Linked DNA regions of Pelodiscus sinensis. The protein of the gene in region 3 purifies or fractionates together with the protein of the main gene of each other region. This does not show direct contact. Links are inferred from orthologs where the notes say so. Each region holds a gene or a part of one and is shown on either strand. Other genes may lie near its edges. The genes, in order: SYK, PTPRE and GRB2.

The links.
Region 1: the proteins of GRB2 (region 3) and SYK purify together in Homo sapiens (affinity purification with western blotting; 3 studies listed by BioGRID, with this or other methods). This does not show direct contact. The link is inferred for Pelodiscus sinensis from reciprocal best matches to the Homo sapiens genes GRB2 and SYK.
Region 2: the proteins of GRB2 (region 3) and PTPRE purify together in Homo sapiens (affinity purification with mass spectrometry; 5 studies listed by BioGRID and IntAct, with this or other methods). This does not show direct contact. The link is inferred for Pelodiscus sinensis from reciprocal best matches to the Homo sapiens genes GRB2 and PTPRE.

Annotation. Positions count from the first base shown.
Region 1 is NC_134716.1:48,172,832-48,177,126, forward strand, and holds the start of SYK (tyrosine-protein kinase SYK), read left to right. Parts: upstream 1-1,701; 5' UTR 1,702-2,124; intron 2,125-4,295. UniProt on the Homo sapiens protein: Non-receptor tyrosine kinase which mediates signal transduction downstream of a variety of transmembrane receptors including classical immunoreceptors like the B-cell receptor (BCR).
Region 2 is NC_134718.1:51,491,368-51,495,662, reverse strand, and holds the start of PTPRE (receptor-type tyrosine-protein phosphatase epsilon), read left to right. Parts: upstream 1-1,827; 5' UTR 1,828-1,891; coding exon 1,892-1,966; intron 1,967-2,177; exon of another isoform or gene 2,178-2,291; intron 2,292-4,295. UniProt on the Homo sapiens protein: Isoform 1 plays a critical role in signaling transduction pathways and phosphoprotein network topology in red blood cells. May play a role in osteoclast formation and function.
Region 3 is NC_134730.1:12,217,114-12,221,408, forward strand, and holds the start of GRB2 (growth factor receptor-bound protein 2), read left to right. Parts: upstream 1-1,342; 5' UTR 1,343-1,577; coding exon 1,578-1,655; intron 1,656-4,295. UniProt on the Homo sapiens protein: Non-enzymatic adapter protein that plays a pivotal role in precisely regulated signaling cascades from cell surface receptors to cellular responses, including signaling transduction and gene expression.

The DNA.
Region 1 (4,295 bases), on a different chromosome or scaffold from region 3:
CTACTGTGGCGGCGCGTTGGGGTTTTCCCGTCTCCTGCACCCCCGTAATGGCACAGACAGACTCCACCAGCCCGTAGAATAGAGGGAATTTATTGCTTCTCCAGGATACAGCACAGATGTAATATGGTTACAGGGCAGGTCTAGGATGCCTCAGCCCCTCTTGAGATGGGGGAGCCTAGGCCCCTAAATCCCAGCCAGTTGCCTAGGCTGCTTTCTCCATGAAACCAGCCAGAAACCTAACTAACTCACTTTCAACCCTGCCCACAGCCAGGGCTCCACTCCCCTTCTTCCCATTGTTCCGCTCCCTGGGAGATAACTGGTCAGATGGGTTCGAAGCCCCCTTTCATAATGACTCATTCCCTGCCCTGCTGGGCCGTGCTGCAGCCAGCAGCCAGTGGAGGTCACTCACAACCCACTGCCCAGCATAACAACCAGCAAGGTACCCCTCACTACGTCACAGCTACATCAATTGTGTATCTTATTTCGAAATAGGGAGGAACTGCACAGAACTTTTTTTCAAAATAGAGCACTCTTTCTCTGACTTCCCTTATTCCTCATACAAAGAGGGTTACAGGAGTCAGAGTAAGAAGTCCTCCACCTTGACAGTATTTTGACACTTTCAAAATAACTTCTTGCTGTGTATATGCGGACTAAGTTATTTCGGAATAATGCTAGTTATCTTGAAATAGCGTTGCAGTGTAGATGTACCCTGAGAGGAGATATGATAGAGGTCTATAAAATCATGACTGGTGTTGAGAAAGTAAATAAAAGTTATTTACTTGTTCCCATAATACAAGAACTAGGGATCAAGTGAAATTAATAGGTAGCAGGTTTACAAGAAACAAAAGGAAGTATTTCTTTATAGAGCACAGTTCTGTGGAACTCCTTGCCAGAGGATGTTGGGAAGACTAGGACTTTAACAGGGTTCACAAAAGCATGGAAGATAGGTCCATCAATGGCTATTAGCCAGGATGGTTAGGAATAGTGTCAGAAACTTTTTTCTGACAGGCCTCTGTCAGAAACTGAGAATGGGCATCAGGAGTTCGATCACATGGTAATTACCTGTTCCATTCATTCCCCATGGGGCACCTGCCATTGGCTACTGTTGAAAAACAGGATACTGGGCTAGATGGACCTTTGGTTTGACTCAGTATGGCTGTTCTTATGTTAGTAGTCTTCAAACATATTAAGGGCTGTTATGGAAAGGCTGGTTAACAACTATTCTCCATGTCCACTGAAGGTAAGATGAGGCAATGAGCTGGATGTGCAGAATGAGAGAGTAAGGTTGGCTATTAGGAAACACTTTCTAAATATAGGGCTAGATACCCACATCCCTAGTGTAACCATACACTAGAACAGGTTCTCTAAGGAGGAGGTGGAATCCCTCTGGGAAGTTTTAAAGAACAGGTTAGAGGAAGAGGATGTGTCAGGGAGAGGCTAGGTTTACTTGGCCCTGCCTCAGCCAAGGTAGCTGGACTTGTTAACCTCTCCAAGTCTCTTCCAGCCCAATAGATTGTTTTCAATTCTAGGAAACCCAGTGGAGGTTGCCTGTAAGGCTTTGGAGCGGACAGGCAAGCGGAAAGGGTCGCTCTAATGCAGCCAGCTTAGGGGCAAGGCGAGGCGCGGAGGCGAGCCAGGGAGGTGTGGAAGTGCAGGGAGTGTTTAGGAGGGCCGGGTTAGAAGCGGCAGCCAGGAAAGGCAGAAGAGGAGCTGGGCAGAGCCGAGCTGGCGCATCCTGGCGCGGGAAGCCCGAGGCCGCTCCGCCCGTGTCCCAGCTGTTAGGCAAATAACGCGGGCCGGGGAGCAGCTGCCCGATGAGGAAGTGTGTGAGCTGAGCCAGGCTGGGAGGAAGTAGCCGGGGCGGCCGCCGCAGAAAATGAGGAAGCGAGGCTGTCACTCCCTCTGAACGCGAGGCTGGGAGGCAGCGCCCCGGAGCGTCTCCTGCCCAGAGCCGCGACCCCCGCGGTAAATCCGCAGCGGCGGCTGCCTCCGCCCTACCCCCTCCCTTTGCGCTGCTCCGGGGCTGGGGGCGTCCCCCGGGGAACCCTCTCTGCAGAGGCGAGGACCCCCGGGTGGCTCAGCCGGGAAGGCTTCCCGCGGCGGCTCCCCGTCCGCCTCGCCTAGGTAAGCGCCGCTGCCTGCTCGGGCAGGTGAGGGAGCCGCGGGCGGGATGCGCGCTCCGGAGTCCTGCGGGCACCGCGGGGTGTGGGTGTAAGGCGGGGGGAGCTTCGCGTCTAGACTGGGCTGCGCGCGTGGGTAACACACCAGGGCAACCCTCCTGCGGGCACGCGGGGGATGCGCCGCCCCCAGCACGGACCCCTCTGCTTGCCCCCGCGGCGCGGCGCGGGGAGGGTGTTTCGCGCCCTGCCAGGCACGCTGGGTTGCATCCAGTAACAGAACACTTAATTGAGCGGCCCCACATTGCAAAATTCACACACAGGCTCACCAAGTTCGGAGGGGTTCGAATCTGCAGCTTCTCTTTGGGCCCACCTGTAAGATCACATTTAAATTGCTTTCCTGGGTAAAGTTTCCTCAATTAGGTTTCTTTGTTTCATCCCAAGCTTACTTTTCATGTATAAATTGAAGAACAAACAAACAATGTATCATTTACCTAAATAATAAGAGGTAAAACACTGACCATGCCATGGCAAATTCATGTGAATCAGCTACTGATGCTTTTAAAAATATTGAATACATTTGTAAGGAAAAAAATTAGCCCCGAAAAGCAACAGAAGAAAGCAATTCCACAAAGCAACTTAATATGTAAACAAATAAAATATATCAGTTTGTGAAGGCAAACACAAAACTCTTAAGTTATAATTGTCTTTCAAGTCAGCATGAACCAGTAAATGAGCATATCTGGATGCATGACTATGAAACTGGTTTGTTCTGTAAACAAAACAATGTTGTTCATAATTTTCATGAGATGTTATTACCGGGACACTAGGTACAGTATTTTCGTTCAGAGTTCTGAAGCCTGACAATTTTTATCAAATGTCTTTTTTTTTTCTAATAAAAAAGCTGTCACCACTATTTATTTCAATTTTACAATAGTGAAACTCCATTGACTTCAACAGAGTGAATGATATAAAAAATGAGAGTATAGCAAGTGATGTCTCAGGCCAATTTTGGGGCAAAGCCAGCATTCCTTTCTCGGGCACAAATACCTTTGATTTCAGTGGTGTTGGATCAAGCCCAGAATCAAATTTCTTAATTTGGCTTAATTTACAAGGTAGTTTTGGAAAGCATTTCCCTATTATGATTAATTTCCATAGTTCAACAAACCATTTACATTCTCATAATTTTGGTTGGTATCTGTTATTTTGGGCCTTCCCCTGCAAGCCCCCTCCCCGCGTACAAAATATTTGCTTTTTCTGTACCTTTGGAATCAAATGTTCAGTCTGATTCAAATGCATTGTCCTGGCACAGACCTGATAAGAATGTCAGGGCCATAAACAGTTAGCCTGAGAGCATTTGGAGTGGGTACTTTTACAGGAACTATGACGCTTTCCTTTCTCAGCCATTTGTTAAGCTTAAGACGGATAAAAGCAGAAATAAGGAAGCTTGAGACGGGAGTGTGTTTTTATTTTGTGACTTTCTGGGGGAAGGGAGAAAGGTTAAGAGAAGGGTTTCATAGATAAAACAACTCAAAATAAATATTTGAAACCATTTTAGGAAGATCAGAATGAGTAGTTTAATGACTAATATTTATTCTGATTTTCATATTTAGTTGGAGGAATAATTAAAATCCACAGTTGTATTTTATAAAGCTTTCAGGTTTTGTTTCTATTAAATAATAATAAAACACTGTAAAATCAAAGATATAAATTTTAGTCAGCTACATTTCTACTTCCAAGTAAGCATGATTGTATTGATGTCAATGAGAGCAGAATTTGACCTATAGAGTGGGGGGGGGGGGAGGGAGTTATTTTGGAAACAGTTAATGGATGTCTTTTTTAAAGTAGTAGGAGCCAAAAATAATATGTTAATACAATTATATGAATGTTGTTTTCAATGTTTTTAACTTTAATGACTACACAATAATGGCATTAATTAATTTGATTCCTTTCTTTTGCACTTCCTATTTAAGTGCCTGCTATTGCTTCCACTAATCATGTCAATGGTAAAACTACTGTTGAAGTTAGAGGATGCAAGTTTTAATTTTTTAAGTCAACTTACATCTTTCTCTTTCATTCCAAATACTGATATGATATACTGTATTGAGACCAATTTTCACAATGGTGTTCATGTTGTATGAGTCTGATATTATTTGACAGTGTTATTTATGTTAATTT
Region 2 (4,295 bases), on a different chromosome or scaffold from region 3:
AGTTTTTTTGCTTTACCTCTTCAGCCTTTATTTTATTAATAAGAAAATTAGCTCTATCCAGAGAACTAAATTTCTTTCACAGTCCTGTAGCTGAGAGCTAAGATTTCTTTCATTGGTAGGATGTCAAACTAAAATCTATGAATGTTACTATACTTTCGGAGTTAATTTAGTAATCATCTCTAGGTTTTCAGATTGCTAACTCTAGATTTCTTTTTCTTTTTTTCCTCTTCATTCTCCCTCCACGGTATATAAGCTCTTTGGCACTTCTACTGCAAGGGTTCAAAAGTCTATTTACAGGCTTCCATCATATTCTCTATATCACTGATTCCTAATCTTATTGGACAACTGTGGCAGTTCAGCAGATAAAAATATTGGCTATACCGGATAGTAGCTTACTGTCTTTCATCACTTTTTTATAGCCAGCACTCTGTTTTCCTTGTAGCCATTTCTGTAAATCATGATGATATCAGTGTCCGGCCATTCAGGGCTGCCTCATACCTATTTTGCCCCATATCAACTATGCATCTGAAGCAATGGTTTTTAACCTATTTATTTCTGTAGGCTATAGCATGCTCCCCCTCCAAAAAAACCCCATCCCTCCACAAAGCAGGGCACCAGGGGCAGGAACCTTGGACTGCACCTCATGGGGCAAGTGGCAGTTGCGTAGAAGCCCTGACTCCAGATCCTTGTGTTGTGTGGGGCCAGCTGGCTAGCTGCCCTAGACCCTGGAGCCCCTCTGTATGGTAGCCTGGGACCCTGGAGGCCAGCCAGGTGGTAGCCCTAGACCTTGGTCCCTGGAGGGCCAGTGTACAGCCCAATTCTGACTCTGCCACATAAGGACAGGCAATACGAACCATGTCATGCAGGGCAGCCGGACCAATGGGATCTAGAACTCTGCCATGCAGCATGGTGGTCTTTAACACACAGCTGGGCTGCAGCTGGGTGCTAATTTGGGCTGTGTCTTGAGAACTGCAGAGCTGGAGTAGGGAGGTGTTCTGACGCATGGTTATCCCTAAGAACCCAAACTCAAAGCCATAAAAAATAAACCTGCCAGATAAATGTGTCCTTTCCCCTTCAACTGAAGAGCTCTCCCTCCCTACCTCTTGTCACTGTGACATAAAAACCTGCCCATATTTCAAGGCTTGGTTTACAGATGGCACAATGGCAAGGGCTGTCACCTGTTCAGGATTGCTTTTTTTTGAGATAGTTGTCTCCGGAAATGCACAAAGAGGTTCCTGCACACTGCCAGGTATCTACTTTTATGGGCCACCAATCATCCTGAGTATCTGGTTCTTTTTATTATTAATTAATTAAGTATTATTATTATTTTAACTCAGAAGTGGCAACCCTATTGCAAGTGAATGTAGGATCAGGCCTAAACCTGCCTGGCTGGTTAATGCAGACAGCTCTAAGGCTAGGTCTGCACAGCAAATCGAGGTGGCTTAGGAGACAACTAGAACAATTTTTTTTAGAAAACCTGAATCTAACTGCCTACTGGTGTAGACATTTAGATTGTGGTGTATGAACTGCAGTTATTGCAGTCAACACTCTGCCCTCACGTGGGGGAGGCCAGCTTTAAAATCCGACCCTCCTTTTCCCTCATTCCGACTATACAATCACCTCGTCCCGCTCACATGCCAGCTCTTGGGTTACCCCCCGGCGCTGTCCTCCCTCCAGTCTCTGCCCCATTTGCCAGGCCACCCTGCTGCTCCCTCCCGCTTCCCGCAGGTGCTGGCCCCCGCACAGCCTCTCCCGGATTGCCCAGCTGACTGGCGGTGCCCCGGGCTGCGATCCCTCGGCTGAGCAGCAGGCGGCTCCCGGCTGACGCCGCTTCGGAGCGCGCGGCAGCAGAGGCGGCGACGGCGATTTGCTGTTCCGGCAGGCAGGGTGAATGCCAGGGCGTCCCCCGCCTGCTGCACCGGGGCGGCCGGGCGCCCGCTGCCTTTGCCGGGCGAGTGCTCCTGAGGTAAGCGGCGCTGGGAGCCAGGCAGCGGGGCCGGGCGAGGCGCCCCTGTCCAGCCGGGCATGGGCTGCTGCGACCCCCCCAGCAGCGCCAGCCCCGGTGCATTCTCCAGCTGGAGCCACATGCCCGGGCCAGGGCAGCGCAGGCCACGGGCGGGGAGGGAGCCGCTGTGCGCAGACAGGCGGTCTCTGCGCCGTGGGAGGGGCTGGGCTGCTCTACCTGCCGGCTTGCTCTCTGCAGCTGCCCCGGGGCGGGGCATGGCGCGTCCCCGGGCCAAGCGTGCCGCGGAGGAGCCAGTGCGGTCAGCAGCGCCGCGAGGCTGGGACAGGTGAGACAGGCAGGGAGCGGCAGCGAGACACACCTGGCTGCAGGCTGGAGGAACTCGGCAGCCAACTTGAGTGGGGTGGCAGGCGCGAGGGGGCGGCCGGGTTATCGCTGCTGGCCTGCTTCAGCCTTCGGCAGGCTCTGCTGAAATCCCCCTGCTCACCTCTCCTCAGCCCGCGCTTGCTGGGGTTGTTTCCCTTAGGAATCGGTATTACTGCTCCGCTGCAGTTCCGAGGCCAGAGCGGGAATGGGGCCCTAACACCCCTTGGGAATAAATGTCCTTTTCTTTCAGACATTTCTGCTCCAGCCAAGGGGGTTTAAACACCCTCCCCTCCTCAGGGTGAAATCCTGGCTCCGCTGACATCCACGGAGAAACTCTCCTGGACCTCAGTGAAGCCAGGGTCTCACCCTCCGTTTTAGAGGTAAAATATTGAGTATTTGACTTCACACTTACAGCGGTGCAATGCTTTAAAAAGCACTTTGCACCCACCAACTTGGAGGCCTGGATGTGATGGGTAGGGAAGGCAGCTTTGTGGTGCAGTATCTGTTTTTGAAGCAGTCTTGCTTTTGTGAAGATATGTGTAGTATGGGGGTTAATACAAGGTTTAGCATAAATTAGGTGCCACTTAAAAAAAATCCATCTTTTATTCCCTTCTCCATTCAGTACAGGTACTTTGATAAGCACTTACCAAACACACTGTCAGTTTTAACTGAATGAGATTAACTTTATTCTTCCTGTTTAAAATGAAAACTAGATGCATAGGAGTGATGGCTGAAGAGATCATTCTCTGTAAGATGCTGTCTGATCTTTTGTCTCTGTGCTGGTGATAGTGTTAGTGTGTGTATTGTTGAAAGCGGTAATGAAGTAAATACCACTGAAGTACTGACAGTTGAAAATCAAGAGCTTCCTGAACTTCCACCGTGCCTCCCAGGGCTGACTTTAGGGAAAATGGCACCCGTGTATTTTGGCACCCCGAGGCTGTGTAAGGGGAGGGCAGCAGAACAGCAGTCCTGATGCTCATCTCACAACACAGCCCAGTTTAGAAAAGTGACTGGAATAGTTGGTGTTACTCTTCACTCCTTCGCCTCCCTTCCTCCACACGGGGGGGAGAACAGAAGGATCATTCTTAGCCCTTGCCTCTTCCATTGCTCTGCTGGGATGAAGCAAGGAGAAATCTCCCTTCTCCATGTATCACCTCTACAAGTTGCAGTGATCCTCTGTCAGCTGGCAGCGTGCACACAGTGCCCCGACCACAGACTGCAGTTGCACAGATGGGTGGCCCACCCCAAGGCTGGCCTTGATGCCTCTCCCTCAAGGGAAAAAAAAATGAATCAACAATCTTTGCAGCATGTCCGTCCTGAAGATGAACAATCACAGGACCAATGGGGCAGCAAATTCCACAATCTGTCTATGATGTAGTCTAATGCAACTGATACTGTGGTATCTAGAGTCATTACTGGGAATGCTCCTACTAGGAGGTGGTATTAGCCCAGTAAAAGCCTTAGGAATATTTGCGCCTTTCCCCCCCGCTCTTCACACAACACATAGTAAAAAGCACCCTCTTGAGCTGCTCCAGGATCCTAAGCAATTGCTTATACTACTTTGTCTGCTTATATCAAATATTAGTTCTTCTCCAGATATACAATTCTGGGAACTGAAACAAAATACAGGACTATGTAGCACTTTAAAGACTAACAAGATGGTTTATTAGATTATGAGCTTTTGTGGGTCAGACCCACTTCCTCAGATCAAATAGTGGAAGAAAATAGTCACAACCATATATACCAAAGGATACAATTAAAAAAATGAACACATATGAAAAGGACAAATCAAATTTCAGAACAGAAGGGGGATGCGGGGGGGAGGGAAGGTCACAATTCTGGGAACTGCTAGCCGAGTTCCTAAGGTACACAGGGAGCAAACAACATAGTATTTTTCATTCAAGGATCTCAGAACATCTAATAAACATTCAGTGATTAAGCCTCCCAATGCTCCTGTTAAATAGGT
Region 3 (4,295 bases):
TTATTTCTCTATTGAAGCAGGCTGTTGGCGTATTTGGAAATGGGCCACAGACAAAGAAAAAAGTGTGCACATTTTAATGGATGTCTGTTCATTTGATTTGCTTTTTGATGGGTTGGTGTATCGAAATATCTTAGGTCAGGTCTACACTAGAAACTTCTGCTGGTATAGAAGATATTGCTTAGGAGTACAATCTTGCTCAGGGGAGAGGGTTATGACACTTCTAAATGGCCCTCTTTTTCTAGGGTGGACTAGGCTAATTTGCTTTGATTCTGTCCTGTGATAGGAGAATTATGCCCTTGAATGTAATCCCATATATCGTCTCACTTAAAAAATAGAAGGAAATAAAAAACATTTAGGCTATATAATTTTTTCAATTCTAAAGTTTCTCCCTAGCTTCCCTCCTGAGAGTGTGTCCTTCCCTCTCCCACTTATCTGAGCAGCGACAGTTCTGTTCTTATTAAGATGCTTGAAGGATGAAAAGGTGTGTGCGCATGCATACACTGTCTTGGGGGTGGAAGGTGGGACTTGATATCACAAGTGGGTAAGATCATGAAGGCACGGTTTCCTCCCCCATGGTATACCTCAAGCTAAGTGAGTTGACAGTGTTTCGAACACTCTTGCAAAAAAAAATAAAAAATTCTGGGATGTATTAGCAGTAGTGTTGTAAAGAAGACACAAGAAGTAATGTTTCCACTCTATGCTACACTGATTAGGCCTCAACTGGAGCATTGTGTCCAGTTCTGGGCGCCACCTTTCAGGAAAGATGTGGACAACTTGGAGAAAGTCCAAAGAAGAGCAACAGAAAGTCTAGGAAGCATGAGCTATGAGGAAGACTGGGATTTGTTTAGTCTAGAGAAGAGGGGCCATGATAGTAGTTTTCAAGTACATAAAAGGGTGTTACAAGGAGGAGGGAGAAAAATCCTGCTCCTTAGCCCACGAGGATAGGCCCAGAAACAATGGGAGGTTTAGTCCGACACTAGGGAAAACTTCCTGTCGGGGTGGTTAAGCGCTGGGATAAATTGCCTAGGGAGGCTGTGGAGCTATTTCAGAGCAGGTTAGACCCACCCCTGTCAGGGATAGTCTAGATGGGGCTTGGTCCTGCCCTGAGTTCATGGGGGGGCTAGGAGTGTGGGTGCTTTCTGTGTGTCCCCACAGCGCGAATATGGAGTCCCCAAGGGGAGAGCGCGCTGCGGCCTAGTGCAATGAGGCCGGGGGCCGAGAAAGCACGCGCAGGAGCACCCAGCTCTTTGGATGGGGTGCGCCTGCGCGTTGCCCTGTGCGCTGCAGTCCTAGCTGCTATTGGCCGCTTTCCATGTCACTCCTCTCTGGCTGCTTCCGGGCGGAGCCCCGGCTTGAGGAGGAAGCGGCGGAAAGCGGAAGCGGCGGCCGGTTCTGGCTCGGGAGGAGGGAGAGGAGCAGGGCGCGGCCCCTGCCATCCGTCCGTGCCACACTTCCCCTGATGGTCGGTCTCTTCCTCCACCTCCCCTAGGGCCGCCCGTGAGTGGGGTAGACGGAGCCGGAGGGAGAGCTCCCTTCCCAGCCACCCCCCGCGCCGCTGTTCGCGGAGCAGCCCCAGCATGGAAGCCATCGCCAAGTACGATTTCAAAGCCACCGCGGACGACGAGCTGAGCTTCAAACGGGGGGATATCCTCAAGGTAAGAGCCGCGGAGGCTTAGCGAGCCCTCTTCTCCCGAGTCACTCGGGCCCCACCATCTCTGGAAATACCCCCCACCCACCCACACACTATCCCATTTCCTCCCCCGTGTCTCCTCCACAGCCCTTCTGACCCCTTGGGCTGCTCTTCGACAGCATCTTCCAGCCCGCTTGTTTTTAATGGCAGAGAGCTAGAGCATAGACCAGTAGCTGAGAAGTACTATTAACTGGATTATTTTTTTTCTAGAGATGCACCCTTTGATAGTAATCCACAACTTAGTGTTTCATCCCTTTGCCCCCTGCCAGAAAGATTTGCATGGAAGAAAAATTGGGTCATCTTTTTGCCATCACGCTGCTAAATATTGATACTGATTTTCTTCTTCTTCTTCTGTGGTGTTAGTTTTCAGCGGTAAATCTGTAACACTGAGTATTTAATGGAATTGTAAAGGTGTGAGTGGATGCCTGGGATAGATTAGATGGGTTTTGTGTGTAAGTTTCTCAATTTATTGAAGAGTAGGAGTCCAGCATAAATTTATATTTGCTTTTTAAAAAAATATATATGCCTAAAACTGAAGAAGAATCTAGAAAGAACAAATGAAGAATGTATGCAACAAAAACAGAAAATGGGGATTTGGTAACGGATTATAGTGCGTGTTTTGTATAAAGATTCTAAACTATGCTGCTTTCAGAATAACTAAAGTCTAGTTTGTATTCATATAAGGTTTTTTTTTTAATTCTATGGTTAATATCACCATGTTTGTTATGGATAAAACAAGATGGATACTTTTTCTTCTAAGCAATTGAGCCATTAGCGGTTTAGCTTTAAAAAGTTGAAATCCATATCTTTATTCTCCAAAATAACCTGGACATAGATGGCTGAGGATTAAAAACCATGTTCTTTAAAAACCCAATCCCACAAAGATTTTAAGCACATAAATAACTTTGTGAATGTGAATATTCTTCACTGGGACTATTAACCTGCAAACAATTACAAACCTTTAATTTTTTTCGGAGTTGGGGCTAAGAAATAGTAGCCTGTTCAAGGAGTGATGAAAAGGCCCCTTTAAAGGCAAACTTAAATTCCATTTGTGCAAAAGAATCACATTAACTACTTCATTGATGCAAGAAATATATGGATTCTGTTGCAAACTTCCTATTTTTGCCATAAATTATGAGTTTTCTGCTTATCTGAGGAAGTGGGATTTGCCCACGAAAGCTGCTTATACATATACATAAAATAAATTTGTTGTTAGTGTCTAAAGTGCTATAGGACTACTCCATGATTTTTCACTGGCTGAAATTTAGTATACAGTGTCATAGAAAACCAGTTCCTTAAACATTTTAGTTGGGATGATAACCAATTCAATTTAAAAAAATTTAAAAAGTCCTGCAGCACCTTAGAGACTAACAAAATATGTAGATGGTCATATGAGCATTCTTGAGCACAACCAGTGCGAGCTGGAACTGAGCTGGGCTGCCTTGCCTGCCTGGCTCCTAATACATTTTAAATGCAGAGCTGCAGCAGGGGTAGGTCCCAGACCTGCTATAAGCCAGGACTGAGCTGGGCTGCTGGCCAGCCTGCTAGAAAATTTACTGGCAGCAGGGGAGAGGGAATGCGTGTAGTCTATATCATTAACCTATTAGCTTTTGCTTATCAGTTAGTCGACTACACTATTACATCCCTAATATATAAGGATTTCTTTTGTCTAAACTAGGAAAATGAGGACCTGTATTGCAGTTTATTCAGACACTCTTACTAGATCATGATTGTGTTTGTGAGATTGTGGCAGAAATCTGAGCTTTATGTGTGGCATGCTTCATGAAAATTAACTTGTGAAACTGTATAACTCAAAGATCCTTTAAACAAAATACCTTTTGTAACATCAATTTTAATGTTACAATCTGCTGGATGTGTATATCCTATTTTGGTGCATGTATCATTCTTGTGTGTGAAGTTATGAAGTATGAGTCTGTTTATAGTTTTAATTGTGTTAATGAGAGCCCTTACTAGTGCCCTGGAAGCCTAATGGCTTGGTGATAAATTTGTAAATAGTCTTGCTTATCCTGTAAGTCCAAGTCATGGTTCATCCTAGGAAGACAGGTGACTATACCACCTGGTACTGAAATCCATTTTGAACCTGGTATTTTCCCATGGAATCAGGGATGTAAAACATAGACTTTACCTCAGGGCTGGGAATACTAAGCAACGGGAAGCAATCCCCCTTGTCTTCAGCTGGCTTTGGAGACTGCCTGGCACACCCTAAGAGGAAAAAAGAACTTTAAAGAAGTCTGGAGACCAAAATCAGAGTAAAAGATCATCTGTGTTTTGAAGCTGATGCCTGAAATAAGAACAGTTGTTTAGAGTAAGAATTTGCATATGACCAGTTTCTTAGTGAATTAGAGCTAGTTATCCCTTTTCTATTCATGTTTATTTAATAACTTACTTTGATCTTACTTTTTGGCCAAACTGGACAGCCTCTATGGCAGGGCTGAGCAAAATATGGCCCAGGGGCTGGATCTGGCCCGCACACCCACCTGGCCAGGACTCTGTCCCAGGCAGCTGTGTGGTTTAAAGCTCAGCCTGTGCATCTCTCTGCTCTGCAGGAAGGGAGAAGATTCATGCAATCTCCTTGCCCCTAGCT